4 linked regions of the Elephas maximus indicus genome follow. The protein of the gene in region 1 purifies or fractionates together with the protein of each later gene. This does not show direct contact. Links are inferred from orthologs where the notes say so. Each region holds a gene or a part of one and is shown in the gene's direction. Other genes may lie near its edges. The genes, in order: STAT3, CEBPB, PIAS3 and PTPN2.

What was found.
Region 2: the proteins of STAT3 (region 1) and CEBPB purify together in Homo sapiens (affinity purification with western blotting; 3 studies listed by BioGRID, with this or other methods). This does not show direct contact. The link is inferred for Elephas maximus indicus from reciprocal best matches to the Homo sapiens genes STAT3 and CEBPB.
Region 3: the proteins of STAT3 (region 1) and PIAS3 purify together in Homo sapiens (affinity purification with western blotting; 5 studies listed by BioGRID). This does not show direct contact. The link is inferred for Elephas maximus indicus from reciprocal best matches to the Homo sapiens genes STAT3 and PIAS3.
Region 4: the proteins of STAT3 (region 1) and PTPN2 purify together in Homo sapiens (affinity purification with western blotting; 7 studies listed by BioGRID). This does not show direct contact. The link is inferred for Elephas maximus indicus from reciprocal best matches to the Homo sapiens genes STAT3 and PTPN2.

What each region holds. Positions count from the first base shown.
Region 1 is NC_064837.1:49,311,867-49,319,748, reverse strand, and holds the start of STAT3 (signal transducer and activator of transcription 3), read left to right. Parts: upstream 1-4,868; 5' UTR 4,869-5,098; intron 5,099-7,882. UniProt on the Homo sapiens protein: Signal transducer and transcription activator that mediates cellular responses to interleukins, KITLG/SCF, LEP and other growth factors. Once activated, recruits coactivators, such as NCOA1 or MED1, to the promoter region of the target gene.
Region 2 is NC_064843.1:19,463,823-19,471,057, reverse strand, and holds CEBPB (CCAAT/enhancer-binding protein beta), read left to right. Parts: upstream 1-4,857; 5' UTR 4,858-5,074; coding exon 5,075-6,112; 3' UTR 6,113-6,725; downstream 6,726-7,235. Other genes in the region: translation initiation factor IF-2-like, read right to left, coding at 2,464-2,543, 4,231-4,819. UniProt on the Homo sapiens protein: Important transcription factor regulating the expression of genes involved in immune and inflammatory responses. Also plays a significant role in adipogenesis, as well as in the gluconeogenic pathway, liver regeneration, and hematopoiesis.
Region 3 is NC_064821.1:157,723,592-157,731,401, forward strand, and holds the start of PIAS3 (E3 SUMO-protein ligase PIAS3), read left to right. Parts: upstream 1-4,803; 5' UTR 4,804-4,905; coding exon 4,906-4,929; intron 4,930-7,024; coding exon 7,025-7,442; intron 7,443-7,601; coding exon 7,602-7,686; intron 7,687-7,810. UniProt on the Homo sapiens protein: Functions as an E3-type small ubiquitin-like modifier (SUMO) ligase, stabilizing the interaction between UBE2I and the substrate, and as a SUMO-tethering factor.
Region 4 is NC_064829.1:8,896,070-8,904,075, forward strand, and holds the start of PTPN2 (tyrosine-protein phosphatase non-receptor type 2), read left to right. Parts: upstream 1-4,992; 5' UTR 4,993-5,117; coding exon 5,118-5,186; intron 5,187-8,006. UniProt on the Homo sapiens protein: Non-receptor type tyrosine-specific phosphatase that dephosphorylates receptor protein tyrosine kinases including INSR, EGFR, CSF1R, PDGFR.

The sequences.
Region 1 (7,882 bases):
CCTTGGGCTTCCTCACAACATGGTGGCTGAGTTCCAAGGGTGAGCCTCCCAAGAGAGAGAGTCAGGTGGAAGCTGTATTACCTTTTCTGATCAAGGCTCTGCAGCATTGCTTACACTGCATTTTATTTGTCAGAACTGAGTCACTAAGCAAGAAGAATTAGACTCTACCTTTAGATGGCAGAAGTGTCAAAGAATTCACGAACGTGTTTGAAAACCACCATAAAATCATTGGGCTGCTTCTCTCTGCCTTTATTCACTTGGTGGGTAGAGGGTGGGGACTCACTTTTTCTCTCCTCGAGACCCTTTTTTGGGCATTCAAGAGGAAGCTTAACCCATTGCCGTCCTCGAGTTGATTCTGACTCATAGCAAAGAGGAAGCTTAGACCTGGAGATATAATCACAGAATAGTTATTCAGGCTTTCAAATTAGACACACTTGGAGTTGAATCCTGGCTCTGCTACTTACCAACTCTATGTTTTTGGGTAAATCACTTAATCTTGGGTAAGCCCATTTTAAGGAGCCCTGGTGGCTAGTGGCTAGGGCTTTGAACCAGTTCGCTCTGGTTTGAACCCCTGATGATAATTTGCATTTCTAACAAGTTCCCTGCTGGGAATTCGCATTTCTAATGAGTTCCCAGGAAGTTATACCTAAGAATCTGATTAAAATGTAGATTCAGTATATCTGGAGTGGAAATGCAAATTATCAGCTTGGAACTTCTTAGAAATGCAAATTCTCAGCAGGGAACTTGTTAGAAATACAAATTCTTAGCAAGGGTTCCAGCTGAACAAGCTGATTTGAAGCCCTGCTGGTGGCACAACAGTTAAGCCAGTTAAGCTGTTAAAGGGCCTGGCTGCTAACCAAAAGTTTGATGGTTTGAACTCATCCAGAGGCTCTGCAGAACAAAAACCTGTGAAGATTACAGCCAGAAAAAACTATGAGGCAGTTTACTCTGTCACCTGGGGTCATTATGAGTAGGAATTGACTCACAGCACCCAACAACAAGCCTCATTTTAGTCATCTGTAAAATCACAGTATCCTCCTTTCACTTAAAGCACAATAAAAATTTAAAAAAACAAAAACAGTATCGTCCTTTTGGGGTTACTGTAAGGATTAAATAAATTAATAGGTGTGTTTACATGAGTTAATACATGCTTAAAGCAATGATTAGCACACAGTAAAAAAATACCCCAAAAAGCAAACCTGCTGCCATCAAGTCAGCTCCAACTCATACAGACCCCATAGGGTTTCCAAGGCTGTAAATCTCCATGGAAGCAGGCTGCCACATCTTTCTTCTGGGGATCCACTGGTGGTTTCCAACCATGGACTTTTTTGGTTAGCAGCCGAGCACTTCACCCACTGCGCCACCAGGGCTCGCAGTACACAGTTACACTCCATAAATATTAGCTATTGCTGATACCATTATTCAACTCGTATTTATTAACATATAATTAACTCAGTCTTGCATGAATTCTATGTTAGATACCACATGCTGGGGTTAAGAAAAGGAGCAGTAATTCCATCAAGCTTCCAGGAACCTAAATTAGGGGGAAATGTTATCTACCATGTGGGTAGAGAGTGCAGACTTTGGAGTCAACCAGGCCTGATTCTCATTCTGAGTTTGTCCCTAGTTTCCAGCTGTGTGGCCTTCGATCAATCTTTAACTTTCTAAGCCTTAGTTTCCTCAGTTGTCAATGAGAATTATAATAGCACCCACCTTGCTAGGTTCTTGAAAGGATCAAATGAGATAATCTATGTAAAATGCTTAGCACATTTCCTGGAACATAGTAAATAGTTAATAAATGCTAATTATTAATTTTATTTATCAGGAAGTAGACTCATAAATGAAGACACTGTCATCCAAGGTGGTGAATGCTATACTTGATGTGGAAGCAACCTGCTGAGCAAGTCCAACAGAAGTGATTCACTTTGCCAGGAAGAATCTAGGAAAGCCTAGACAAGGTGGTGTTGGAATGGGGCTTTGAAGGATAAATAAAAGTTTTTCAGGTAAGGAATGAGGGGAGGGAAGGTGTTCCATGTGGAGGAAAGAATATCCATAAAGGCATGGCATTGCAGAAGGTGCTGGCATGTTTGAAGGAAGATAAGTTCAGTGTGGGAGCTTAGGGTGTGTGGGACAGAGGGGATGAGATGGGAAAAGGGGGTTTAGGCCAGGTTTTGTAGGACTTTGTAAGCCAAAACAAGAGGGCGGAAAGAACACTGAGTTCCTACCAGATGCCCAACACTGACTTAGATGTTCTCTCTCTATATATACATACCTTTTTTTTTTTAATCTAATTTGCGTTTTATCCTGTAGGTAATAGAGAACAGTAGAGATTTTTAAGTAGGCTGTGACATGACTGCTTATTTATTTATTTAATTTTTAGGACAATGTCCCTGGCAGCCAGGGGAAGGACAGGCTGGAGTGAGGAGAGAATAGTCAGGAAGCCACAGGGTTGGCCCAAGCGAAACTGCCATCTTTAACCAGGAGGGATTCGGCAGAGGTGTGGAGAAGGCCAGCGGCTAGGCTGTGGAGAGGTTCCAGGGTCAAATGTATAGGCTCAGGGATAGATTTTATGTGTAAATGAGGTAGAGAGGCAGTGAGGAAATGAAAACCAGTTGGTGAGGGGTCAGGGGAGGAGAATAGGGTTTGAGTGAATGGAGCAAAGCTATGAGATCTGGAGTCCAAAAACCAGACTCTGAACCCACCTGGATTAGCTGTGAGTACCTTTGTAGTCTGGAGAACTTTACCCTATCTTGACCTTAGTTTCTTATCAGTGAAACAGGTGCTAATAATATGGCTTCTCCTATCTATCACATGCCGATTGTTGTGAGAAAAAAAAGGGGTAACAAGTGTAAAAGTGCTTTGTAAGCAGTAAATCACTAAATAAATATTAGACCCACCGTTATTAGGGAGGAAGCCCTGGTGACGCAGTGGTTAAGAGCTACAGCTGCTAACCAAAAGGTCAGCAGTTTGAATCCACCAGGCGCTCCTTGGAAATCATATGGGGCAGTTCTACCCTGTCCTATAGAGTTGCTATGAGTCAGAATCCACTGGACGGCAGTGGGTTTTAGTTTTGGTTATTAGGGAGGCACTCAACTGCATGGTATAGCACAGCTGAGAGACAGTTTAGGTGAGGTGGAAGGTGGACGGTTATCTGTCCTGGGGTGGAGAGAAAACAAACAGGGTGCTCAACACATGCTACACACAAGCACAGTGATTTCCACACTGGGCTGGGTCTACAGGAGGGACATGGGAGACTCTCAATCCCATACCTAGTGACCCTATCAGGTGCCCCACAGCTGCTCTCATCTCTCACTTGGATGTACTGAGGTCCAAGAGGTCCAAATCTAGTGTCTTTGAACGGATTTCGGGTAGCTGAGGAACGATGTTAAGTCTGACAAGTAAATGCTACGTGGTGTGTTTTTCTGGGGCTGGAAACCATAGTCTCCATTAGACTCTCAGAGGGTTTGTGACCCCCTCCTAAAGTCAAGAGTCATTGATTTTCTCACCAGAAATTAATAAGAATAGTTACCCTCGGAGAGAGGGGCTGGTGAAAAGGGGAAGGAGGAGATTTTCATTTTCCACTTTCTGAACGGTTTGAACTTTCTAACCATGAGTATGTATTAAAAAACTTAAAAAAATGTGTATTAGTTTCATTTAAAAAAACTGCCACTAGGGGTAGGGGTTATCTGGATGATGAGAAAATGGGCTCTTTTTAGATTTGTGTTTACAAACATAAATACTAATAGTTGCTATTTTAAAGGAAACCCTGGTGGTGTAGTGGTAAGAACTATAGCTGCTAATCAGAGTCGGCAGTTCAAATCCACCAGGCGCTCCTTGGAAACAGTCTGGGGCAGTTTTACTCTGTCCTATAGGATCGTTATGAGTCAGAATCGAATCGACGGCAACGGGTTTTTTGTTATTTTAAAACCCTGTTAGTATCAGCAAAACAAATGCAAAAATCACTCCATTATGCAAAGTTTATCCTCTATTATGACTCCATTATGCGAAACCTACACTTCCTATAAACTACTGGCTTCAATTCAGTAAAACCTGCGTAAGAAGTAGACGGGTGAAAAAAAAAAAAACAAAAAACAGGCAAATTCAGGTATTTCAACTCAGGCATAAAAATGTCAAATACTGAGTATACGTGTCAACCTTCATATATATTGGCGTATGAAGCTTCAAGGAATGGAAAGGAAGACAGGGTTAAATCCACTACCCTCTCCCCACGCACTCTAGTAATTACTCTATTTCCACGTCATGTTTCCGGGTGTGTATGTCCCGACTCAAGCAGAAATTAAGTTCAAAGCAGGCAGGAGTCACCCATGTTCTTTTTGTTATCCGCCAGAAACCCGACTCAGGAGCTGGGCCCCCTGAGGACCTGGCGATACCTGGGGACTGTCTAACTGGCTGAATCGCACGTGGTAAGAGGCTCCCAACCTCGCCTCCACGTGGTGCCAAAGGCCGGGAACAGGGAGAGCGGGCAGGCGGGAGCCGCATCAGGGGCATTTAAAGTGTCTTGACGTCACACACTGCCAGGAACTCAGCTGAGTTTTCAGCAGGACATTCCAGTCATCTTTCCTCCCTCCCCCCGGGCCTCTGTGCCGCTGGCCTCTGCTCTTCCCCGGCTGTTGTGGAGGGAGGAGCACTACGCCCTCCGGAGCAGCCAGCACAGGGGCGTCCCCAGCCTTTACTTGGCTCCGCCCCTTCCCCCAGTGACTCTTTTGATTGGTCGGTGGGTAGGGCTTCGTAGGTACAGTGCGCGCAGCGGAGCCTCTGGATGGCGGAGACAGCTGGCTATCTCATGAATTATGCATAACAGCGTGTCTAAGCCCGGCAGGCGCTGGGCGGGGATTGGCTGGAGGGGCTGTAATTCAGCCGTTTCCGGAGCTGTGGCGGCGTAGGCCCGGAGGAGGAGCCTGGGGTTCCGACGTCGCCACGGAGGGAGCGAGCCCTAACCGGATCCTTGACTAGCACCCCAACTTGGTGTTCTTTCTCCCCGTCTGCTGGGAGAGGCCCCGCGGCCTGAGGGAACCCCGCGGCCCGCACCCCTGCCCAAGCGCAGCCCCGGCCTGTCGGGCCTCAGCCGGAGAAACAGGTGAAGGGGGTGAAGGGTGGGGCCGTCTCCCCAGACGCCCCCAGGCCTGGGGACCCCGGGGACGCGGGAGCGGGTGCGACCTTTTTGGCATGTTTGGGGAAAAACTGGAAACTTCAGTGGGGCGGGGGGAAATGAGGGGACACCTAGCGTCGCTCTGAAGGGACGACTCCCTGGGATGACAGGAGCGGGCCTCTGAAAGGAGAGGGGGCGCTGAAAGGAAGTTTCATTCCTCGGAGAAAAGGGGAGAAGCGGAGGAAGAGTGAGACTGAGCTCGAGAGGGAGGACTGTGGGATGGAGTGGCAGCGGTGAGGGACAGCCCCCCTACTTCCTGCTCCCTGGGACTCTGGGGACGTTCCGGCCACAGGAGAGACTGTCACACCGGCGGAGATCACTGGGGGCGGGGGTGTGGAAAGAGCCTCGTCCCCGCCCCGCTGGCAGGGTCCGGCGGCTCCTGGCTGAGCCACTTCCTCCTTGCCCGGTTCCCGCTCCTTTAGGTGCCAGCTGTAATCCTCCGGAGGTAGGAATAGGTGTCTTCCCCGAGAGCCTGACCGGCTGGTTGGTTGTGGGTAGGATTATTGCATAAGAATCTAGTTTCCTGTAGGGAAATTGACAAGACTTGTACTCTTTCTAAATTCCTTTCCATCTTATTCTAGCTTAAGCCGTGCTTTCCCCCCCTTTTTAAAACAAAACGAAACAAGATAAAACCCCAATCAGGCCAGCCCTAGAGAGAAGTAAACCTCTTTCCCCCTTGGCATTATTCTTTTATAAACACCTGGTAAACACGGCCAGAAGATAAATAATTGAGCCATTGCATTTACTGGATTGTGGTGTTGCTTAATTGCATAGGACAGAATGAACCAATCGACAGTGGTTTCTGTCTCCCAGCCAAGATCTTGGGTAAATGCAGAGGAGAGGAAAGCAAAGACAGGCTGGCCTTGGCGAAGCTATGTGCGCAAACTTTACCTGTGTTTGGGGGTGTGGTTGCCCTTAAATTAGCAAAATTCAAACCCTCGCCCAAGTTGCCTTTTCCATGTTTAGCACACATCACTCTGTTATATCAAGTGGGTGTATGTGTGTTGACATAATCAGTGGTTAGTCACTTTTTTTTATTAAAAAATATAGTTTGTACCTTCTGGTTTTTATTGCATGTGTATGTAAAGGGTGTACTTATTCTGTACATGGATTGTAACTTTTTGGCTGGCTGTGCTAATAAACGTTGGTTTGAATAAGTCAAAATGGTAAATCATCTCCATTTTTATGTGTGAACTTAGACCGTATTGTGATTTGATTCAGCCAATTTTCTATTTTTCTTTATATTAAATATGTCTGTGTTCCCTGAGTCAACACATTGATTTCTTCATTACATATGTCAGACTGGAGTACTAGTAGAAGTTTTGTTCAGATGTTTGCACAGTAGGATGGGAGAGAGAAGTCTGGAATAAAAAAAAAAAAACCTCCGTAGATCTTGGGGGGCTGATCTTAGTCTCTATATCTGTTAGCACACCCACCACAAAGAACCATTAGCAAATTCATGAAAATATGTGTATGTGTATCTTTTGGGAAGGATAGCCATTTAGAAATACCCACAGTTATGACTAGACCCACAAAGGGCTTGTGATAATAGGTCATTCATATAACATTAACCTATTTCGTAAATAAGGAAATTGGGGGCAAATGAACAAGACGCTTGTCCAAGTCAGCAGAGTGCTATAGTGGCAGAACTCATACTTTCTGTATATGTTGTGTTCTTTTTGACTATCAATGGTTAAGTATTAGGTGTTGATTTAGAGTGAATGTAAGCCCTGCTGACATAGTGGTAAAGTGCCACGGCTGCTAACCAAAGGGTCAGCAGTTCGAATCCACCAGGCGCTCCTTGGAAACTCTGTGGGGCAGTTCTACTCTGTCCTGTAGAGTCGCTATGAGTTGGAATCGACTCGACGGCACTGGGTTTGGTTTGGTTTTTGGTAAGCCCTGCTGGGAAAAGTGTCAGTGCAATTCTAACATATATCTGGATGGTGAAATACCTCCAGCAGGCTGTAAGACTCCAAGGAACACAAAGATTCAATAAACAGGTGAAAAAGAAGTACAGATAGGGCTTGCTTAGGTTACTTTTCTAACTGCTATGTCTAACTTGGAAAGTAACTGTTTTTAGTAGGGAAAATGCACCATCAGAACACAGGTATTTGGCTAAGGGAAAGAGATGTTTTCTTAGGGAAAATTTGTTAAGGGAAGGGCAGTTGTGACTTAGATGTCATTTAAACCAGAGTGCTTTGTGGCTTACACTGGTAGTTTGCGTCTCCAGAAAGATGCTTTCTCCTCCCTGCGTCTAAGTGTCTTGACATTCAGGTATGAGATGGGGCAGATGGAGACCATCATTGCAGAAGCTTGAATCCAGCTCCCTTTTAGCTTATGGTTTTCAGAGAGGTGGCATACCAATCCGTCAACAAACATTACTTTGTGAAAGTTGCTGGGAAGAATAAAATGTGTCTTATTCCCAGAATTTGTAATCTACTGGGGTGACTTGATCAGTACTTCAACCATCCAGTGAGACATGTTGTCGTCAAAGAGGTGGTAAGAGCATTGAGCCTGTGCTTTCCAAAAAGGTGGCTATTGTATATAAAAAAAAGCATATAGTACAGATACAGAACATTTCTGTTATTATAGGAAGTTGTATTGGACAGCGCTGCACCAAGCACTACAGTCTTCAGAGGAAGGAGAGGTTATAGGGGCTGAAATTGCCTAGGAAGTCTTCTTGGCAAAGGAGCGATTTGAACTGGGTCTCAA
Region 2 (7,235 bases), on another chromosome or scaffold:
TTGATTCTGACTCTTGGCAACCTCATGTATGATACATCATGTATTACAGTGTAGAACTGCTCCATGGGGTTTTCTTGGCTGTGATATTTACAGAAGCAGATCTCCAGGCCTTGCTTTCGTGGCACCACTGGGTGGGTTCAAACAGCCAACCTTCAGGTTAGTGGTCAAGTGCAAACTGTGCCACCCAGGGGCCTCAATCCAGAGGATTCATTTAAATTGACTCTGCAGTCCCTGAGGTTGCCACAAGGTGACAGCATATGCACAGACAATTTTCACTGGCTAGCCTGAGAGGCTCTGCCGGTGGTGCCGTCAAAATGACCCTATAGGACAGAGTAGAATTGCTCCTCAGGGTTTCCTAAACTGCAGTCTTTACGGGAGCAGATTGCCAGGTCTTTTCTCCAGAGGAGCCGCATGTAGGTTTGAACCACCAACCTTTTGGTTGGCAGCTGAGTGCTTAACCACGGCTGCATCAGGGCTCCTTCAGTGGCTCTGAGGATTCCAAAATCCCAGATTTGTGGATTTCGGGCCTGACAGCCCTCAGGGATCTACTCCTCGTCCCATTTGGCAGATGGCAAAACTGAGGCCTCAGAGAGGAGACGTGATGGGGAAAAATCCTGGACATTAGAATCAGGGGACCTGGCTTTTAATTCACTGTGATCTTGGGGGAAGCCCTCTCTCAGCCTCAGTTTCCCCAGTGTTTACTGTTTTGTGAGGTTTTCATGACTTGTAGCAGTCGAACCCTTTGTGGGGCTAAAGAGAGGTCTGATTTGACTCATGTGTTGGGGGGGATGCAATAGGCCCAGAACCCCCAAGAGAGGGGATATCCTCATCCTCATTTTTACAGACCATGAACTGAGGCCCAGAGGGGACACCAGACGTGGTCAAAATTCCACTGCAAGGACCAGAGCAGGAAAACAATCCAACCTCCTTCACCCTCTTGTCCCACCCCCACTAGAGACGGCCTCAATTAATGGCCTGATGTTTTGCCTTATTTTCCTGCCTGCCGGCGGATTTCTAAGCCCTTCCGCTGATACTTTTACTGTTGTTAGTTGTTATGTCTGAGCCCATTGTTGCAGCCACTGTGTCAGTCCATCTCGTTGAGAGTCTTTCTCTTTTTTGCTGACCTTCTGCTTTCCTATTCTACTTTTACTACTCTCCTCTTGGGCAAGCTGCCTGGGGTTTCTCCTCCTGAAGATGGGGCTAAGGATAAGCGGCTGAGAATGGGAAGACGGAATTCTGAGAAGCTGTCTGGGAGCACAGGCGGCGTGCATCCATGTCCTGGGCCGTGGCCCCTGCCTGGCTCCTGCCCATCACTGTGAGGCTATGTGGGTCCAGTCCACAGCTTCTGGTTTGAAAAAAGAGAATCCAGAAATTTGAATTTTGGTGTGAAGTCTTCTGATTTTTAAATGTTGGCAATAAATCCACTTAAAAAACAAAATAAAACCAAACCACTATGGGGCCACTCTGAACTCAGCTGTGGATTGGCTCTGACCGGCTGGCTAGGTTTGAGACCCTGTCTGGCCCCAGGTTCCTACAGAAACCACGTGGGATGGTAACTGGAAAGGGTCACTGTGTGTGACCCCAGGTGGATCCCGGTCTCTTGTGTCCTCACTGCCTGCAGGCCCAAAGTGGCCGGTCCCACATAGCCACTCTGGCGTCTTCCTGGCCTCTGGGCCATGGCGGTTCAGAGTCCCCGGCAGCCCCTTCCCTGGGGAAAGATTGAGCATTAATGGTGGGGCAGGAGGCAAGACCTGTTGAGCAATGAGCCTTGTAAAAACAAGGGCTTACGTCACCTGTGCACGTAGCCTCCCTGCAGGACACCTGGGTTGGCACTGGGGTGGGAACTGCTACTGATCTCACTGGCCAGTGGGGAATCTGGCCTGGGTCGCCATGCCTCAGGTGGGGTCAGACACCTGGATGGGGCGGGATCTGGTCCTTGGGTGCTGGTCCCCAGCATCCAGGTGGCCACCTGACTCACTCTGACCCTGGATCACCCTTTTCTGAGCCTCAGTTTTCCTATCCAGAAAATGGGGTTCACAGCACCCGACCTGTTGCGATTTATTACAAATCCAAAGAGGAAAGTTAGGCTGGAAAGATTTTTATCCCTTCCCACCCCTTTGATGTGACCTGGAGCAGGCACAGTTAGCTCCCCTGGGACTCAGTTTCCTCATCTGTAAAGTGGAGATAATAACAGGACTTGCCTCTTACAAATTAGGAGGGTTAAATGAGTCAATACACACAAAGAGCTTACGATATGGTTCAGAGAAGGCAGATTTGCCTGAGAACGCACAGCAATCCCCCAGTTAGCTCCAGGCCTCCCAGGCCTCACTGTATCTCCCCAGAGTGTTGAGAGGCTGGGGTGGGGGCTGAGATTCAGAGAGGGCAGCCATCCTGCCTGAGGTCACACAGTCCAGGAAATGGGGAGTCTCACCTTCTTCTCCACATCCACCTCCATTCATTCGTTCAGTCATGGAGCACCTTCTGTGTACCAGGCACTGGGGAGACAGCCAACAAAGCAGACAAAAATCCCTGCCCTGGAGGGGCTGACATGGGGAGGGGGCAGTGGGCACAGAAAGCAAGGACAGGTGAGAAGGGTGGGAAAATAAAACAGGGAGATGTGAAAGGAGCGCGTGAGGGGCTGGGGCTTTTGATGGGTGGTCAAGGAGGGCTTCTCGGAGGAGGAGGTGACAGTTGGGCTGAGCCCTGAGGGGTGAGAAGGAGCTGCCTGAGGCAGAGCTGGGCGAACAGTGTTCTTGGGTCCAGGGGAACAGCGCATGCATCGATTCACTGGGAAATACTGAGCATGCCCTGCTTAGGAGTTCCAGGCTGCCAGGAGCCAACCGTCCAGGGGAGAGAGAGACAAGTACATACGCAGCTAGGATAATGGGAGATATGGTTTGAGGAGGAAGTTCCTGCGGGGCGGGACAGGGAGGGCCCTCTTGGAGGCGGTGGCCCTCAAGCTGAGGCCTGAGCGTCCCACTTTGCAGCTGGGTGGCCTGGTTGGGTGGCCCTAGGGAAGTTGCTGCACCCCTCTGGACCTCAGTGCCCTCCCTGGCCCAGAGGCTGCTGGGAAGGCCCCAAAAGCGGGCAGGTCAGGCCAGGCCAGGCCAGTGTTTGATCCTGTCCTGCCCCCCACCCCCAAGGGCACTGGCAGATGTCATTTCTCTCGCTCTTGGGGGCGGAGGTCACCCCAGCTCAGGAGATAACGCTGAAGGTTGAGCAATGCCCGCTTGCCTGCCTGCGGGGGACAGGGCTGGGGTCAGTGGGCTGGGGGTCAGCCCCGGGCAGTCCAGGAGCTCCTGCCGGGCTGGTGGCCTGGGCCAGGAGTAGCCAAGCGAAGGGAGGCAGGGAATCGCCAAAATGGCCTAGGAATGGGGCTAGAGAGGGCAGGTGGTCAGAGGGCCTCAGGCCTGGGTTCAAATCCAGTATGAACTCCTGGCCCAGTTCCCTTTCTGTGAAATGAGGGCAGAAGAGCACCTGCCTGGGCAGGGCTCTTAGGTGAAAAAGTGAGTCCCAGGTCCACTGATCGCATAGTAGGGACTTGCGTAAAATGGCGAAGGTCCCTTCTCTCTCCTGCATGCCCCCCAGCAGGCGGCCTCACAACCCCCCTCACCCCCGATCCTCGAAAACAGAAGGCTTTTTGGCCTCTAAACCTGTTGCCATGGAGTCAATTCGGATTCAGAGACCCTATCGGACAGAGTAGAACTGCCCCATATAGAGTTTCCAAGGAGCGTTTGGTGGATTCGAACTGCTGACCTTTCAGTAAACACCAAGGCTCCTTTTGGCTTCTAGGTTGGCAAATAGGTCTTAGGGCACTGGGACAAGGGCTTTTCTTTGGAGATGAATGGAGGCCATGAGGCTGTGTGACCCCGGGCGTGCCATGTTCCTTCTGGGCCTCCTCTGTACCCTCTACTGAGAGTGCCTTTCTCTCCCATGGGGGGCCCAGCGGTCTTAAAACTTAAGCCTTATGTTTGGGAATAACGTTAATAACGACAGGCTTACATGGACTAGGCGCGACGTGAAGTGACTCGCCCACGGTCACACAGTGTGGTAGAGCCCAGCACCCCCGCCATACGTTCCCGAGTCCCAGGTCGGGGGTGGGGTGGGTGGGGCGGGCAAAGACGCGGGTGTGGCTTAAGGGGGCGGGCAGGTGCGGTGGGCGGGGCTGGGGAGGGGCGCAGCCGGATCTAGGCCTTGGCCCCAGAAGAGCGCGGCCCAGCACATCCCCACCTGAAGGTCCGCGTATCTGCAGTGCTTTTAAGAGGCGAGTCGCCACGAATGTGGAATCTCCTTTTTCAAACAGCTGGGGATATAGGGCAAATTTAGGGCAGGGGCTGAGCCCCGGAAAGGGCTTTAGAGATACGGCCCGTGGAGGGGTCGGGGTCTCGAGGGTCCCGCCTGTGGAGCGCCCCCTTTGTGGGGCGTCGGGGCTGGGCTCGGCCAATCCTGAAACCACCGCCTCCTCCAGCAGGGGGCGGGCCGCGGCCGTGTTTGGGGTGGGGAAGGCAATCGGGTCGCCCCCTCCCCGGATTCCCCCCTTCCAGAGCAGCCGCCAGCCCAGTGGGGGCGGTCCGGGGGCGGGGTCGCACCTCCCCCTCTTGCTCCCAATCCGGGGACTGCTAGGTGGGTGTGGGCAGGGGGCGTGAGGTCTCCCCCCCCCCGGCTGGGGGTCCCTGGAGGGCGTGCTAGTGGTCCGGGTCCGGCCTCCTCGCCCGGCCGCCGACCTCTCGGGGGTCTCGGGTGGCCGTGGCCTCCGCGTCCCAGCGGCGGCGGCGGGAGGGGCCGGGGCGGCTGCCAGGCGTGACGCAGCCGTTGCCATGGGCCGCCTTATAAATAACCGAGCTCGGGAGAAACTTTAGCGAGTCAGAGCCGCGCACGGGACCGGGAAGGGGACCCAACCGAGGGTCCAGTCGCCAGCCCCCGCACTAATAGCGGCCACTCCGGCAGCGGCGGCAGCGGCAGTAGTAGCAGCAGCAGCAGCGACAGCGGCGACAGCTCGGAGCCAGGAGGCCGCGCCACCTGCGGGCCGGCCGGAGCGGGCAGCCCCAGGCCCCCTCCCCGGGCACCCGCGTTCATGCAACGCCTGGTGGCCTGGGACCCAGCATGTCTCCCCCTGCCGCCGCCGCCTGCCTTTAAATCCATGGAAGTGGCCAACTTCTACTACGAGGCGGACTGCTTGGCTGCTGCGTACGGTGGCAAGGCGGCCCCCGCGCCCCCCGCGGCCAGGCCCGGGCCGCGCCCCCCCGCCGGCGAGCTGGGGAGTATCGGCGAGCACGAGCGCGCCATTGACTTCAGCCCGTACCTGGAGCCGCTGGGCGCGCCGCAGGCCCCAGCGCCGGCCACGGCCACGGACACCTTCGAGGCGGCTCCGCCCGCGCCCGCCTCCGCCCCCGCGCCCGCCTCCTCCGGGCAGCACCACGACTTCCTTTCCGATCTCTTCTCCGACGATTACGGGGGCAAGAACTGCAAGAAGGCGGCCGAGTACGGCTACGTGAGCCTGGGGCGTCTGGGGGCCGCCAAGGGGGCGCTGCACCCCAGCTGCTTTGCGCCCCTGCACCCACCGCCCCCGCCTCCGCCGCCCGCCGAGCTCAAGGTGGAGCCGGGCTTCGAGCCCGCGGACTGCAAGCGGAAGGAGGAGGCTGGGGCGCCGGGCGGCGGCGCCGCAGGCATGGCGGCGGGCTTCCCGTACGCGCTGCGCGCCTACCTCGGCTACCAGGCGGTGCCGAGCGGCAGCAGCGGGAGCCTCTCCACGTCTTCGTCGTCCAGCCCGCCCGGAACGCCAAGCCCCGCCGACGCCAAGGCGCCCCCTCCGGCCTGCTACCCCGGGGCCGCGCCGGCGCCCTCGCAGGTCAAGAGCAAGGCGAAGAAGACCGTGGACAAGCACAGCGACGAGTACAAGATCCGGCGCGAGCGCAACAACATCGCCGTGCGCAAGAGCCGCGACAAGGCCAAGATGCGCAACCTGGAGACACAGCACAAGGTCTTGGAGCTCACGGCCGAGAACGAGCGGCTGCAGAAGAAGGTGGAGCAGCTGTCGCGCGAGCTCAGCACCCTGCGGAACTTGTTCAAGCAGCTGCCCGAGCCCCTGCTTGCCTCCTCCGGCCACTGCTAGCGCGGCCCCCGCGCGCGTCCCCCTGCCGGCCGGCCTCCGCGCTGCCGGGCGCGCCGCAGCCGCCGAGACTCCCGGGAGCGCCCGCGCCCGCGCTCCCGCCCCCGCCCCTGGTGGCGCCGGCAAAACTTTGGCACTGGGGCGCTTGGCAGCGCGGGGACTCGTCGGTAATTTTAATATTTTATTATATATATCTGTCTATATTTTTGTCCAAACCAACCGCACATGCACCTGGGGCGCCCGCCTGTGGTGTTATTTAAAGAAGAAACGTCTATGTGTACAGATGAATGATAAACTCTCTCCTCTCCTGCCCCCTCTCCCGGCGCCGGCGGGCGGGCCGGTTTCGAAGTTGATGCAATCGGTTTAAACATGGCTGGACGCGTGTGTACACGGGACTGACGCAACCCACGTGTAACTGTCAGCCGGGCCCTGAGTAATCGCTTAAAGATGTTCCTACGGGGTTGTTGCTGTTGTTTTTGTTTTTTTGGTCTTTTTTTTTTTTTTGTATTATAAAAAATAATCTATTTCTATGAGAAAAGAGGAGTCTGTATATTTTGGGAATCTTTTCCGTTTTAAGCATTAAGTAAGAACACTTTTAATAAACTTTTTTTTTTGAGACTGGTTAAAAAAAAGCCTTTTGGGGGCAGTAGTTGGCTTTTGATTTTTTTTCCCCTTTATTTTGGATTGACTTGATTTTCGCTTTCTGGTGTGGGGGATTGTGTTTCTGTGGGGGCTGCTAATATTTTTGGCTTTTTCGCGGCGGGGTGGGGGTGTTGCAGCTGGGCTTGCTTTTAACCGGCTGCCCCCCAAGGTCAGCTTGGAGGTGGGAGTGCTGGTCCTGGGGGTGGAGAGTGCTGGGTCAGGCTTTTGGGGTGACTCAGCACCCCTGGGTGCTGGAGACCGGTGGTTGAGAGGTCCACTTGGGGAGGGGCAGGGACCTCTGGTCCTTAGTGCCAGGCCTGGGTTTTGAGGGAGGCAGAGATCTATGATCCCCCACTATGGGGGCTAGGCAGGCAGGCCTGTGATGCCACAGAAAGAGGGGGTGCCGGTCTTGGTCCTGCTTGGCCCAAGTCAGGGGTAGGCTTTTTTGATCAGTGTAGTGGGGCAGGCTGTTTAAAAACACTTT
Region 3 (7,810 bases), on another chromosome or scaffold:
ATTCTCCCTTGCTCCCAAAGGGGTGAGAACAGTGGAGTATACTAGATGGCCACTCACAGGCTTTTAAGACCCCAGACGCTACTCACCAAAGCAGAATGCAGAATGTTTTCTTTATAAACTATGTTATGCCAGTTGAGCTAGATGTTCCCCAAGACCATGGCCCCCACAGCCCTCAGCCCAGCAGTTTGGTCCCTCAGGGAGTTTAGATGTGTCTGTGGAGCTACCAGGACCTTGCCTTGTACAGGTTGTGCTGGCTTCTCCCATATTGCCTGTCTTACCCTTCACCAAAGTTACCACATATCTGTCGTCTATTTAGTGATGAAGACTTGAAATACATAGCCCTCAGTGAAAACGGGGGATTGATGCTCTTCCTTTTCTTTTTCAAATCTTTATCTTACAGATACTGATCTTTTGTCTCGATCTTGAGACTCCTGGCTCCATGACCTTTTTTAAGGAGGAGAAATTGAAAGACCTGGATTTTCTTTAAGGTGTACAATCTAAAATATTCTGTCATGCATCAGACCATGCGTCTAGATTCGAGGGTTTATTTTATGTGGTTACTGTTCTGTGCCCCAGGTGCAAACGGGGATGAAAAGTCCGATTCCTGGGAAAGGGATGAAGACGAACTCAGTTGGTTTCTTCCCTCCAGTTCTGTTCTCAGACTGAAAAAATGTATCTGTCTTGGTCACTTCTGTGGGGTCTCCTCCCCTTCCTGCTCCTCAGCCAGCCAGACTGCTAGGTAAAAGTGAGGCAGTGAGTTCTTCCAAAACCTGGAACAGCAGTTTGTGGCCTACACTCTGGTCCCTCCCATTCCTTCTCTCAGCCTGCCTTCTGTGGGGTCACGCTGGGTCAGACAGCAGCAGTTTGGCAAAAAAGATACTAAATTGCCTCTCGTTACCAACCAACCTTTAGAAGCCTTTCCGGAGCACCAGGCTTAGGTGGAAACTGAGACAGGCAGGGGAAAGAGGGGGCAAGGACTATGTGAGGTGGTGAGAAAAGAACTTATTTGTGAATCGTTTTATGCTCAGCCTTCAGCTTTGAAAAATTTTATACGGGAGATGCCAAACTAGCTGGGTTGAGAGAAAAAAAGTGGGGGAGCGGCTGCCTTGAAGGCAGGGGCCACACATGGGCTCCAGGGGCTGGGCTGGCTTCAGGGTTTGGGTAGGAACAGAGCAGATGAGATATGTAGATCCGGTCCTAGAGAAGGTGCAGGTCAGTTTTGGAGTCTGCATGGGTGGGCGCAGGGCTGCTTGAAGGCTGGGAGAATGGAGAGAGCAGGGATTGAAAGGAGAAGGGGAGAAAGAGAGCAGCTGCCAGATGAAGAGCATCACAAAGGTCCGAGGGACTTCTATTAAGGAGAACAGAACCTCTTTTTTGCCTGCTCCCAGTTACCAGAAAATATAGAAGGACTGTTCCATTCCTCATTAGTCGGGTGGGAAAAATGAAAAAAACTGCAGAGAGAAAGGTTCAGAGAGGGGGTAGATCATTTGGCTAATTGTGAGTCAGGAAACTGCTTTGGTAATGCAAACCAGGCCTTTGGCTCCCTCCCGGGCTCCTGGAAGCTGATCCAGGATGGCTGAGTTGTGGGAGTGGTAAGTGATGTTAACGTTAGCATAGGAGTGGAACCTTTTCCAGCCGCTGCTCTTTCTGTACAATCTCCCTCTATACAGCCCCGTAAACTGTGACCCCAACAACCCCAAGCCCTGGAGTATTCCTTGACTTTACAAATCTTTCACAAAGCAATTCTAACCCTAATGTTCCTCCCTATTTCTGCTGGGCAGCCTGTTTAATGGACTGTAGTAGGGAGGGACTTCACTACTCCTGTAAACCTCCCCCTGGAGCCCCAGGCATCAGATGGGAGTGTGTAGGTGAGAGTAGGAAGGCAGGAGGTAAAGCTTGGTGGGCCATGATGGGAATCATAATGTCTTTGCCTTCAGCCTGGAACTTGGCCCTGATTTTCAGTTTCCCCCTCTTTCTCTGTTAATGTATTCATCAGATATTTTAAAAGTCTGCTATGTGCCAGGCCCTGGGGATACAATGTGAACAGCACAGAAGAAGTGCCTGCCCTCCTGGAACTTGTGTACAGGACCAGATTCAGCTGCCTTGGTTCCCAGTTTTCTGTTATTCTGCAGGAATGCCAAAATTTATAACCTCAAATTCGTTTTTAAAGGAGATCCCTCCTTCACAAAATCACTAGGAACCAAGGTGAGATTGACTTTCTTCTAATTTTATACTGACATACAATAAACTGCACATATCTAAAGTGTATAGTTTGATAAATTTTGACATATGTTTAAACTCGTGAAACCATTACCATAATCAAGATAATGAAGATATCATATCCATCACTACTAAAATGTCCCCCATCTCTTTGTAATCACCTTCCAACCCTTTCTCCCCACAAATTCTAAAATTATTAGATAATAAAAACTAATCCATAGTAACTTTTGATCTAGAGGACTGAACTGAACGAAGAAAAAAAAAAAAAAAAAAAAGGCATAGGGCCTGATGACAATTCAGGTGTAGGAAGGGGCAGTTGGGATTTAGAACCAAACACCTGAGCCTGGGTTTAGTCTGAGGGGCCTACCAGTGTAGACAGCAGAGCATCAAGGAAAGAACCTGAGTGTCAGGAGAGGGTGGACATTTTCCATAGGGATAGATTCCACAAGGTAGTTGGCATGGGCCACTTCAACAGGTATTTGGGAATATTAGTAGGCTGGCATCTTCAGTCTTATGGCTTGGATGGGGTCTCATGGTTGGGATTATACTGAAGGCTTAAGCTACATGAGGGAATTGTTCATATTATTTATTGAAATACTTTGAGTATTCTGATTATGGGTTTAACATGTGTTGTCGCTGCTGTTAGAATGTGAGCTCCTGCAAGGTTTTTGTGTCCACAGCACCTAACAATCCCTGAGTATCACTCAAATATTTGTTGAACAAAGGACATTTAGGTCCTTCTGTTAAAACAAAACAAAAACCACTGCCCTGGAGTGGATTCTGATTTATAGTGACCCCATGTGTTACAGAGTAGAACTGCTCCATAGGGTTTATACCACCCAGGGATCTTACTTAAGGTTCTTAAGACCTGTTGCCAGCGAGTGGATTCCAATTCATAGCGACCTTGTAGGACAGAGTGGAACTGCCCCATAGAGTTTCCAAGGAGCGGCTGGTGGATTTGAACTGCTGACCTTTTGGTTAACAGCTGAGCTCTTAACCACTGCACCACCAGGGCTCCTTAGTATGGGTTCACTGCCCAAAGTTGACGTTTTTATGGATATAAAACGGATTTACTCTGGGGCCTTAAGGTAAGTAATTAGCTTCTTTGAGAAGGGGGCCCCTGAAGAGTCCAAGGCCTTGGAGGTAGAAGAGTAGGTAGTTCAGAGACGGGCAAGAAAACCTCCGCTCTGCTCACCTTCAGTTACACCAAGATGTAGGGTCTCTTGTGAGGACTGTATGTGTATCTGGGGTAGAGGGTGGGGAACCACACGTAGAGTTAGGGCCAGGCACACTTTGGATTCAAGAGACCCAGGTTATCCCCCAGGGAGGGAGAAAGTAGGAACCTCTTTATGGGGCCACATCCCTGGTCCACACTCTTATTTGTAGGGTGCCTCCTCCTCAAGCCGTTATGCCAGCGCGAGGGATCAGAGAGGTGTGAAAGATGGGATCCAAGAACTTGTCTTCGCCGATCCACTCACATGAAGAGTTAATCTCATGAACACTGGGCACCGAGCCCCGCCCCCTCCAGCCTCAGGCCCCGCCCCCTCCCCAGCAGGGCGGTCCGGGAGGGCTTACCCCGGAGGGGGCGGACCCAGCCCGAGCGTTGGGGCGGGCGGAGCTCCCGCCCAGGCCGAGCCGCGGCTGCAGCGTCCAGCTGCCGGACAGGACTCCAGCCGTGCAGACTGCCGGAGCGACGCCGAGCCCCCTTTCCCCACCTCCCCGGCCCACCTCGGAACCCTCCGAACCCCCTCCCCGTTCCCTGAGACTGCTGGTAAGTCACGCTCTCAGCACCAAACTTTTTTTGCTGCAGAGTTGAAGTACTTCGGCTGGACCACGAGCTACACTGTAGTTGGTGTATGGGGGGGAAGTGGGGGCAGAGGACTGAGAATAGCCGTCTTGAACTGAACTGTTTACGACTCCATAAACCCAGACCCACTGCCATCAAGTCGATTCCTACTTACAGCGACCCTGTGGGACAGAGTAGAACTGCCCCATAGGGTTTCCAAGGCTGTAAACTTTAGGGAAGCCGACTGCCACATCGTTCTTCCCCAGGAGCGGCTGGTGTTTCGAACCATCGACCTTTCGGTTAGCAGCCGAGCGCTTTAGTCACTGGGCCACCATAGCTTCCTTATGATTCCGTAGTTTCCCTAAAATGCAGCAGAGCTCACCCATTTCGCGAGTTGGTAAAACTCTTTGATTTTAGCTTTTTAAATTTGGAGAGATTGACATGAGGGTATTCGCTCTAACTTTGCCACCCTCCTCCCCCATTCCCCTGAGACTGAGCAGTTTCCGATACTTTCCCTCCATATTTCAAGGATCTTTGACTCCCTAAAAGCTCATCCCCTCCCAAGTCTGGCGTGGCAAATCTCCCCTCCCCCAGGCACTTCGGTTCCGCCTTCTCTCCGTTACCCTCCGGGACCCCGCGATTTTAGGCCGTACACTCCCTCCGGGTCTACCCGTCTTGTAGACCCGCCAACGACGTGCAGGGGCTGGGTCCGGCCGCGGAGGGAGGGACGGAGGCTGGGGCTTGTCCGGAGCCAGGCGGGCGGGGCAGGGAAGGGGCGGTGTAGGGGGCCGGACGGGGCGGAGCAGGCGGCATTTGCGGCCGGCGCCGGGGTGGGGAGTTGTGCGCCGGTCCCTGGGCCTGAGCTCCGGCTCGGGCTCGGGCGCCTGCGATGTCTCAAGATGGCGGAGCTGGGCGAATTAAAGGTACCGGCCCCCTCCCCCATCCCCATCTGGACGGATCCCGGCGGTACGCCGAATCGGGGCAGCGACCGAGACTGGGTGCTGAGGGCTCGGGTGGCAGCAGGAGACGTGGCGGGGAATGGCTGTAGGGCTGCAAGGGATGAGAGAGAAGGGGCTGCGGTGGGGTTCGGGGGCGGGGCTGAGGGGAATTGCAGCTGTTGGGGGCCGCGGCGCAGGGGGCGGGGACGCGGGTAGAAGTCGGATTTGGTAGTTGGGGCAGATGTAGGGGTAGGGCCGGGGGAAAAGCTGCTGTAGAGTCTTAGGCGGCTAGTTGATCAAGGCCAAGAGATGCGACAGCAGGGGGCAGAGGTAGGGATGGGACTGGCGGGCAGATGTAGGAGAGGGTCCTCGGGGAAATGCAATAGACAGTATAGAGGCTTTGGGGCTGCTTTTGGTATTCCAACCTTGGGAAATACCCAGCTGGCGGCTGAGATATAGGGGGCGGGGCTGCGTGCAGATACTTTGAGGGGTGGGGCAAAAGCATCCTGGAGGCTGAGAGGAGGGTCCTGCCTTAGTGAGTGGGTGTCTTTGGGCTGTGGCAGAGGAGTGTGAAACTGGGATAGGAAGGAGGGGCAGTTATAGGCACAACTATTGGAAAGCTAAAGCCAGGACAGAGGAGATAAGGATGAGGAGGAAGAAGGAAGAGTAGCAAGTTGTTCACCATATTTCTCAAAATGGACCAAGCCATAAGGCCACCCCTCCTATGAAGGGAAGAATTTTGAAGGGCTAGCAAGGCTGGCCTGTGGCTGAGTCTTCTAGAGATTCATGGAAAGGAGCCCTTCAACGAGAGAGCTCTTTGTGCCCTCCCATCACCACACACAGCCTGAGGGTAACTGCATCAGAGGATAGGTCACAGAACCTTAAAACTAGTGGGTTCATCCCTCTGCCTCCGGGCTTTATTCTGCCCCTTTCGAATGGAGCCACAGCCCTAGGCAGGCTGGGGTCCAGCCATTGGGCCAGTGGGCCCAGGTGCCATTGTAAAACCAGTAGCCGAATTGATTCCGACTCAGAGCAATCCCGTGTGTTTCAGAGTAGAATTGTGCTCCGTAGGGTTTTCATTGGCTGATTTTTCAGAAGTAGGCTGTCAGGGCTTTATTTTGCGGCACCACTGTCTGGATTCGAACCTCCAAATTTTCGGTTAGCAGCCAAGCGTGTTAACCATTTGCACCACCCTGGGAGCTTGCAGTTCTGTATCCTGGATCAGGATTTGTACGCCTTCTCCTCATTCTCCCAGGATTTCTGTTTAGAGCTTTGCTCTCTTTTCTTTCACCCCTTTGGGAGGGACTGAGTGGGAATAACTTATTTTCTCTATATAGGAGAAAAGCAGATGGAGTAAACAGGTAAACAGGCAGGACACCTGAACTTAGTGGTTCACTGTTCTCCCTTTTCCCCCAGTTTTGGTCTTGTTTTCCTCCTAGAAAACTAGGACTGAAGGGAAGGGTGGTTAACACAGATGACACAGAGACAAGGTTTGGGGGGGTTAGGAGTATTGAACCCTGACCTGTCCACAAAAGCTTTAGAGACTTGGGGCAAGTAGCTGAGGCAGATTGAGGTAGTTGGGAGGGGTGGACTGTGGGGCACAATCGTCTAACCACCTGTCTCTTCATTCCCCGTAAGGCCGTCTAGCCTGAATCCTTTCCTCTCTCCATCCTTCTCCCTGTCTCTTATTCTCTTTCCAGGGGGCTGGAATGGGTCTGAGAAAGAGCAGGAGAGGAGATAAGCAGCTTAAAAAATAGTCCATAGATGGAGGCAGAAGGATGTAGTGGACTCAGGGTGTGTCTGGGGATGGCTTGCTGTCTGGCTTCCCTGCCCACACTGTGGTCAATTTCCAGGCATGGGAGACGGGGGCTGCTCAAGCTGGGGGGTAGTGGGGAGGTTGACCTGAGAGTTGTTGAAATGAGACTGAGGTGTCCCCCTGGCCAGGTTGGCTGCCTGACAGTAACCCACTAGCTGCAAAGCATCTTTCTGATCAGTGCTGGAGGGAGAGGGGCACTGCCCAATGGGCGGCTTAGCCCCAGTGTCCTTGGCAGGATCCTCAAGCTTCTGTTCTTCTCCATAGCACATGGTGATGAGCTTCCGAGTATCTGAGCTCCAGGTGCTCCTTGGCTTTGCTGGCCGGAACAAGAGTGGAAGGAAGCACGAGCTCCTGGCCAAGGCCCTGCACCTTCTCAAATCCAGCTGTGCTCCCAGCGTCCAGATGAAGATCAAAGAGCTTTACCGCCGACGCTTTCCCCGGAAGACCCTGGGGCCCTCTGATCTCTCCTTGATCTCTCTGCCCCCTGGTACCCCTCCTGTAGGCTCCCCTGGCCCCCTAGCCCCCATTCCCCCGGCCCTCCTGGCCCCTGGCACTGTGCTGGTCCCCAAACGTGAAGTAGACATGCACCCGTCTCTGCCCCAGCCTGTGCACCCTGATGTCACTATGAAACCGTTGCCTTTCTATGAAGTCTACGGGGAGCTCATCCGGCCCACCACCCTCGGTATGCCACTCTGTGGTTCCTCGGCCCTCCTGGACCCCATGCCTCTTCCCCAATCCTTTCTTGGGCTTTAGCCCTGTGGGATCAGGAATCTGGGATGGGGTCAACTTCTGTGGCCACTTGTGCATGGGCTTGGGAATAACTGCCCCTTTGTGTCCTTAGCATCCACTTCTAGCCAGCGGTTTGAGGAAGCGCACTTTACCTTTGCCCTTACACCCCAGCAAGTGCAGCAGATCCTCACATCCAGGTACTTCCCCATCAGTCTTCTGCCTCATTTCTGGGCGGTTATCCTTCTACTCTGCTCTCTGTCTTCTGTTCCCCCCTGCTCTCCCTATCCATCTTCCTGCACCTGCTTTGTCTCTCATTGTCTT
Region 4 (8,006 bases), on another chromosome or scaffold:
CCATATTTATGTCTCTTCCAAAGAAAGGTGTTCCAACCGAATGTGGAAATTATCGAACACTGTCAGTAAAATTTTGCTGAAGATAATCAAAAATGGTTGCAATAGTACATCAACAGAGAACTGCCAGAAATTCAAGCCAGATTCTAAAAAGGACATAAAACAAGGGATATCATTACTGATATCAGATGGATCCTGGCTGAATGTAGAGAATACTAGAAAGATATTTACCTGTGTTTTACTGACTACGCAAACGTATTTGACTATGTGGATCATAAAAAATTATGGATAATATTGTGGAGAACAGGAATCCAGAACACTTAATAGTGCTGTACACAGACCAAGAAGCATTCATTTGGACAGAACGAGGGGATACTGTATGGTTTAAAGTCAGGAAACGTGTGTGTCAGGGTTGTATCTTTTCACCAAACTTATTCAATCTGTTTGCTGAGCAAATAATCCGAAAAGCTGGACTGTATGAAGAAGAATGGGGTATCAGAATTGGAGGAAGGCTCATTAACAATCTGCATTATGCAGATGATACAATCTTGCTTGCTGAAAGTGAAGAGGACTTGAAGCTCTTAGCAATGGAGATCAAAGACTACAGCCTCCAGTATGGATTACACCTCAGCATAAAGAAAAGAAAAATCCTCACAGCTGGACCAACAAGCAAGATTATATGAAATACAGAAAAAATCGGAGTTGTCAAGGATTTCATTTTAATTGCATCCACAGACAATGCCCATGGAGGCAGCAGTAAAGAGGTCAAAGGACACACTGCGTTGGACAAGTCTGCTGCAAAAGACCTCTCTGGAGTGTTGAAGGACAAAGATGCCATTTTGAGGACTAAGGTGCACCTGGCCCAAGCCATGGTGTTTTCAATCGCCTCATATGCATGGCAAAGCTGGGCATGAATAAGAAATACCAAAGAAGAATCAAAGCTTTTGAATTATGGTATTGGCGAAGAATGCCAGAAGAAAGAACAAATCTGTCTTGGAAGAAGTACAGCCAGAATGCTTCTTAGAAGCAAGGATGACGAGAATTCGTCTCACATATTTTGGACATGTTATCAGGAGGGACCACTCCCTGATGAAGGACATCATGCTTGGTAAGGTAGAGGGTCAGCAAAAAAGAGGAAGACCCTCAACAAGACAGACTAAGACAGTGACTGCAACAATGGGCTCAAGCAGAACAACAACCATGAGAATGGTGGGACTGGGCAGTGTTTTGTTCTGTTCATAGAGGCACTATGAGTCGGAACCGACCTGACGGCACCTAACAACAACTTTATAAAAAACTCACTATATTTATATATTTCTGTATATGTATTTCAAGAAAAGGTTTATTTAAAATATATATATATATACTTGTCTGAAGTTCCACTCTCACTGAAATCTATTGTTGTTGTTGTCAGCTGCCGTTAAGTCGGTTCCGACTCATAGCGACCCCATGCACAACAGAACGAAACACTGCCTGGTCCTGTGCCATCCTTACAATCATTATTACACTTGAGGCCATTGTTGCAGCCACTGTGTCAGTCCACCTCATTGAGGGTCTTCCTCTTTTCTGCTAACCCTGTACTTTGCCAAGCATGATGTCCTTTTCCAGGGACTGATCCCTCCTGACAACATGTCCAAAGTATGTAAGACGCAGTCTCACCATCCTTGCCTCTAAGGAGCATTCTAGCTGTACTTCTTCCAAGACAGATTTATTGGTTCTTCTGGCATTCCATGGTATATTCAATATTCTTCGCCAACACCACAATTCAAAGGCGTCAACTCTTCTTCGGTCTTCCTTCTTCATTGTCCAGCTTTCACATGCATATGATGCAATTGAAAATACCAGGGCTTGGGTCAGGCTCACCTTAGTCTTCAGGGTGACATCTTTGCTCTTCAACACTTTAAAGAGGTCCTTTGCAGCAGCTTTACCACAAACTGACAGCCACATGGGATACTGAAATCTACACAAGCAACCAAATGTCTGCCTGGTACATCTCTTGTGTGGACATTAGGTTTTTAGGCTGTATTTTGATATGTTGATCCCTTCGAAGTTCTAGTTTAGGGTCTATGGGTAGTAAACAGAGTTTTCCCTTAAGTGGATATAGACATACGATGGTAGTCATCTGGGGAAGAGGAGCCTCTTAGGTAGGAAACTGGAATTCAGAAGGAATGTCTTGTTTAGAAGAAAGAAGGGACTCCAAATTCCTGCTATGCATCATTTCCTTTGTTCTAGACTAGTGGTCCACAACCTGTGGGCTGCACAGTTCACAAGGGCCAAGGAGTAAGTTGACCACATTGCTAAAAATCTGAATGTACTATCCACCAAGCATTAGCTGTAAGATGAATAAATACCTCATGCTTTTCAAAAAATACAAATTCATTTAAAATATTACTAAATTCATAGTAGACTTTGGTCATTGTATATTTTCTCAAGTATGCAAAAACTATGTACGTAAAAGTATAGCTACTATCAAAAGGACTTTAAAAATTTTGTGGGCAAAAGGGGAACCTGATACTTAAAAATCTTGAGAACTACTGATCTTGACCTCATATAGGGCAAAAGTCTTTGTCTGAGGTCTTTAGAAATGGATACTAACAAAGCGATCGTCTGCTAAATGAAAGGTGGGTGATTCAAAACCACCAGCTGCTCTTTAGGAGAAAGATGTAACAGTCTGCTTCTGTAGAGATCTAAAGCCTTGGAAACCCTATGGGGTCTCTAGAAGTCAGAATCGACTTGATGGCAGTGGGTTTAAATGCAGGCAAGCTAGGAACTTGTTGGGTTGAAAGTCATATGACAGAGAGAACAAACCATATTTTATATACACAATACCCAGAAGCAAGTTACTCTTTTATAAAAAGTTTCTTTTATCCCTGAGTTTTAGCCTTATGTAAATATTCTTTTAGCACCATAGCTCTTGAAGAGCATTAAAATGCATAAAAATCATCTGGTGAGCTTCGTTTCAAAGCCTCATTCCCAGAAATTCAGATTCCTTAGGTTTGGGTAGGGCCTGTGATTTTGCATGTCTATCAAACAGAAAATGATGCTCCTGTGAGGACCACTGCACTAGATTTTAGCTGCACTTCAGCAAAATAGGAAAAAATGAGGATGACAATTGACCTACTAAGGGATGGGAAATATCTGGTGGCAAGAACTGCTGCTTTGAGATCAAGATGCCCCTCTTCTCAGTGGAATACCCCCACCATTACCGACGTTGGAGGGTCTCAGTGGATTTTATTAAGTGGACAAACTTTCTTTGGTAGAAGAGTGGATATTTTCAGGTTGGAAAGCAATCTGCTGAGCTAGTCCCTTTGGGAAGTACTTGATACCAACAATTTTAGGGTATTCTGGGAGAATCTGCGCCTTTATTCTAAATAATTAGTTTCAATGACAATAGTTTCAGGAACCAGGACAATTAGAGACTGTGCGGTTTTTTGTTTTTTTTTTTGAAGGGAACTCTATGTATTCCCAAATTAAACAATGTAGGTAGAAAACGCTGGTTGATTGCTTAATTTTCTATCACTCAGTCGCTGTGGAGCGGACTCCGACTCACGGCAACTCCGTGTGTGTTAGAGTAGAAGAGTGTTCCATAAGATTTTCCAGAAGTAAAAAAAAAAATTTTTTTTTTTTTTTAATTTCCAGGCCTTTGTTCAGGTAGCCTCTGGGTAACAGTGGCTCTGGGTAGCAGTTCCAACTCATAGCAAGGCCATAGAGTTTCCTAGGCTATAATCTTTTCTGGAGCTCATCTCCAAATTTTTCTTTTGGCGTGGCTGCCTGGGCTCGAACCGTCAATATTTCAGTTAGCGGCCAAATTGCTTAACCATCGGGCCACCAGGGAATCTTTAATTTTCTATTATTTACTGGTACTATATTCTGTTGGAACTCTGGTTGCACAGTGGTTAAGCACTGGGCTGCTACCAAAAGGTCAGCAGTTCTAATCCACCAGCCACTCCTTGGAAACCCTATGTGGGCAGATCTACTCTGTCCTATAGGGTCGCTAGAAATCAAAATCGACTTGACGGCAACGGGGACGTGACTTAAGGGCACTTTCGTACCTCAAGTATTTTAATCCTCTCAGACTTTGCTGGTCAAAACGAACTTTCTGTGATGATAGAATTGTTCTATATGTACGCCCTGCAATACAGTCCAGTAGAAAACGTGGCTACTGAACACTTGAAATGTGCTACTGCGACTGAGAAATTCATAATTCCATTTAATTATTTCAATATTGAACAGCACAGGTAAAATTTTTCTAAGCGTTCACATTTCTTATGACCATGATATAATAAGCATCCTCAATATGAGGAGCATATGAGTTCACTAACAACTATCGTAACGTGAAACAAGAGGATTTCCGTAATTAGCAAGTTTGTTGGACAAAAAAGGATTCTTTTCTTTTCACAGGCAATTTTTAAGTTGTGGGATGTTTTCTAAACAAGATGTATTCTCCCAAACTCCAGGAGAGGTTGCCCCTCCTTTTGCTATAGGGATTTTTTTGGCATAAAAAGCCGCAGGCGCAGAAGAGCTGCCGTCGGGGCGGGCGGGGGGAGAGGGATAGGCTCTTTTCTCCAGAAGGCTGAAAAATATGCTCCAAAGATGGAGCACATCCGACCTACCTGGATGATATTTAAAATAAACTGAAATACTGCATTATTAAAAAAACTGCAATTAAGGAGAAAAAGAGCATCGGGACGGAGAAAACAAGACGGTCCGGACGACTTCGGAGGGGACCTCCTGGGGCCCGACCCAAGCCAGTTGCCCTTGCGGGTGCCCACGCCCCACCCCCGGCCGTCCGCGCAGCCCGAGGGCGGGGCCCCTCAGGCCGAGCTTCCCGGCACTGTCGCCAGGCGGGGGGAGGGGCTCGGGCCCGCCCTCCGCACCTGCGCGCCCACCAGATGCACCGCCTGCCCGCACCGCCCAGCCGTGCGGCCTCCAGCGGCGCGTCGGCACGCTGACGTCCTACGCGCCAGGTACTTTCCCCACAGCCAGCGGTGGGAGGGGGCGGGGAGGGCGGCCACGCGCCGCGCATGCGCCCGCGGGGCGTCTCGGGTTCCCCGGATCCGCGCGGGGCATGAGCCTCTCCGCGGCCAGCGGCTTCCTTCGCGTCCGTGGCTCCCGCCGCCATGTCCGTCACTGTCCAGCGGGAGTTTGACGAGCTGGATGCTCGGAATTGTTGGCAGCAGCTGTACCTGGTGAGTCGCAGGGGCTAACACGGCGGCTGGCCTCCCAGCCTCCTCTGCCCCGAGGAACACGGACTCGAGCTCGCCCGGCTCCCTCCGCCGCCTCCCCGCCTCTTCCCTCCGCAGGCGGAAGTGGCAGGGCCGCTCGGCGGGCGGGCGGACGCCGACGGGCCGGGCTGGGGGCGCGCCGGTCGGGCGCAGAAGCTTGCTTCTTCCCCTTTTGGAAAGAAAAAAAAAAAAAAAAGGCTTTAAGTGGGGATACTCCTCGCCAGCGCAGAGTGAGCTCTGGAGGTTGGTGCCACAGCGTCGCCTCGTGGTGGCGCGGGTGGGCCCTCTGCGTTCGCGGGCACGGGGCTCCCGCTCGCCGCCCCGCCCCGGGCTGCTGCCGGCGGGGGTGTCTGGGCCGGGGGTCCTCGGGGTGCCCGGTCCCCGTCTCGGAAGGCGGGGAGCGGTTGGCGGTGTGTGAATCGCGGTGGCCTCGTCGTGGCGGGGCCTAAACCTTCGCGGCGGCGAGAGCTTCGGGGTCAGCACTTCGACGGTTCTCAGTCCGGGGTCGTCCACAGAGAGCCTTCCTGGAACGGACATGGGGTTCGGTTGTGTTGTGAAATGATGAAGGAGTATCGTTCCCTGTGTGCTTTCCCGAATCGAGATAAACTTTACACGCAGTAAAATGCACAGATCTTATGTGTACAGTTCAGGGAGTTTCACAAATTTATACACCCGTGCAAGCATCACTCAAATCGAGATAAAGAACATTTTTTGACCCCGGAAGGTACCACATCACCTTCTCCCACGTCCCGTAAACCACCTCTGTTCCACAGAAGCATCTTGCCTGTTCTGGGACTCTTACTAATGGGATCGTACGGTATGAGTTCTTTTGTGACTGGCTTCCTTTTTCTTTAAATTTTATTGTGCTTTAGGTGAAAGTTTATAGAGCAAATTAATTTCACATTTGATAGTTTGTACATAAAGTGTTCCGTAACATTGGTTTGAGACCCCTCAGTGTGTCAGCACTCTCCCCATTTCTGCCTAGGTTCTGCCTTTCCTTTCCTGTGGATTTTCTACCCTTTCCTGTATTCTTATCTGTGCTTTTGGGCAAATGTTGTTCTTTTGATCTATAGTCACTCTAAGGAACACATTCCTCTCAGCTGTTACGGTTTATTTTATAGGCCTGTCTGTTGTTTGGCTGAAAGATGGTCTCTGGGAATGCCTTCATTTCCAGGTCAGAAGGGCCATAGACTCAGGGGTTCCTTCAGTCAGTCAGGCCAGTAAGTCTGGTCTTTTTTGTGAATTTGAGTTTTTGTTCTACATTTTTTTCCTGCTCTTTTGTGATCCCAGTGACTAGCTTCTTTAGTCAACTAGAATATGTTTTAATTCAAACAAAACTTTTTATTTAACATTTATTTGATTGCCTGCTCCTTACTGTTAATTCCCAAGATTGGATTGAGCGGTTAGTTAAATGCTGCCAGATTTGTTTTGTGTATAGTAAAAAAAGCCATTGCTGCTGAGTCGATTCCAACTTATAGTGACCCTATAGGACAGAGTAGAACTGCCCCATAGAGTTTCCAAGGAGCGCTTGGTGGATTCAAACTGCCGACCTTTTGGTTAGCAGCTGTAGCACTTAACCACTACACCATCAGGGTTTCTGCTGTGTACAGTAAAAGGGGGAAAAAAGGGCTCTCCTGTATATCTGGAGGATCTTAGTTTTTTTTTCTCCATTTTCCTTTAATTGGATGACAGTAAAAAATGTTTCCTTTGTCGTTATGTTCAGAATGTATACCATTTTGTTCTGGAACACGTTAGCAGGCAGAGTCTTAAATAGTCTTAATCACATCAGTACAGTGTATGTTAGAATAGGGCACTAACTTTTAAAGAGTGCTGGTTAGGACTGTTCCAATCGCGATAAGTCTTAAATGCAAGTTGTAGTAGGACTCTTTATGTGAGAGCCTGGCAGCTGTTCCTCAGTTATAGTTGGTTTAACAGAGGAGAGGCTGCTGTCTTCAAGATGCAATTGATATATCAAAATACCGACCTGAAAAGAGAAAGATCAGTGGTGCAACTTAATTCAGCTTTCTATCTTGCTAAAGCAGCTTGATTTTTTTTTTTTTGTCATTATTATCCTCGAGAATTCAATAAAAACTGATCTCAGTTGTCCGAAAAATGTACGTACTTAGATCCACTGAAAATTTCGCATCAGGTTTCAAAGAGCTCAGGAAACAGTTTCATGGGGTCATGGCTAGTCATCTTTTGGTTTAGTGAGTTGGTCAGCATTCTTCTACTTTTCATAATGAAAGAACCAGAGCGTTAGCTTTGTCAGTAGGAATCATGCCGTGCATGCTGGTGTTACAGTACAAGTAGGTCACAAAACAAGAATGTAATGGAAAGCAAGCCTGGGAAGAGTTGGCTAAGGGTGTTTTCCACAGGACTTTGAACCTGGTTCCTTCGAAACCCCTGCTGAGAATTTGCATCTCTAACAACTTCCCAGGCCATGAAAATGCTGCTGATGAGGGGCGGTTCAGAGAATCGCTGGTAGAGTGGTGGTTCTCAAAATTTATTGTACACGAGAATCACCTGGAAAAAAAAAAATGTTAAACTGTAGAATCTGATTCAGTATATCTGGGGTGGAAACCCTGGTGGTGTAGTTGTTAAGTGCTACAGCTGCCAACCGAGGGGTCGGCAGTTTGAATGCGCAAGGCGCTCCTTTGAAACTCTACAGGGCAGTTCTACTCTGTCCTGTAGGGTCGCTATGAGTTGGAATCGACTCGAGGTTACTGGGTTTGGGGGTGGAAATGCAAATTCTCATCAGGGAATGAACCAGTTGAAGCCCTGCTC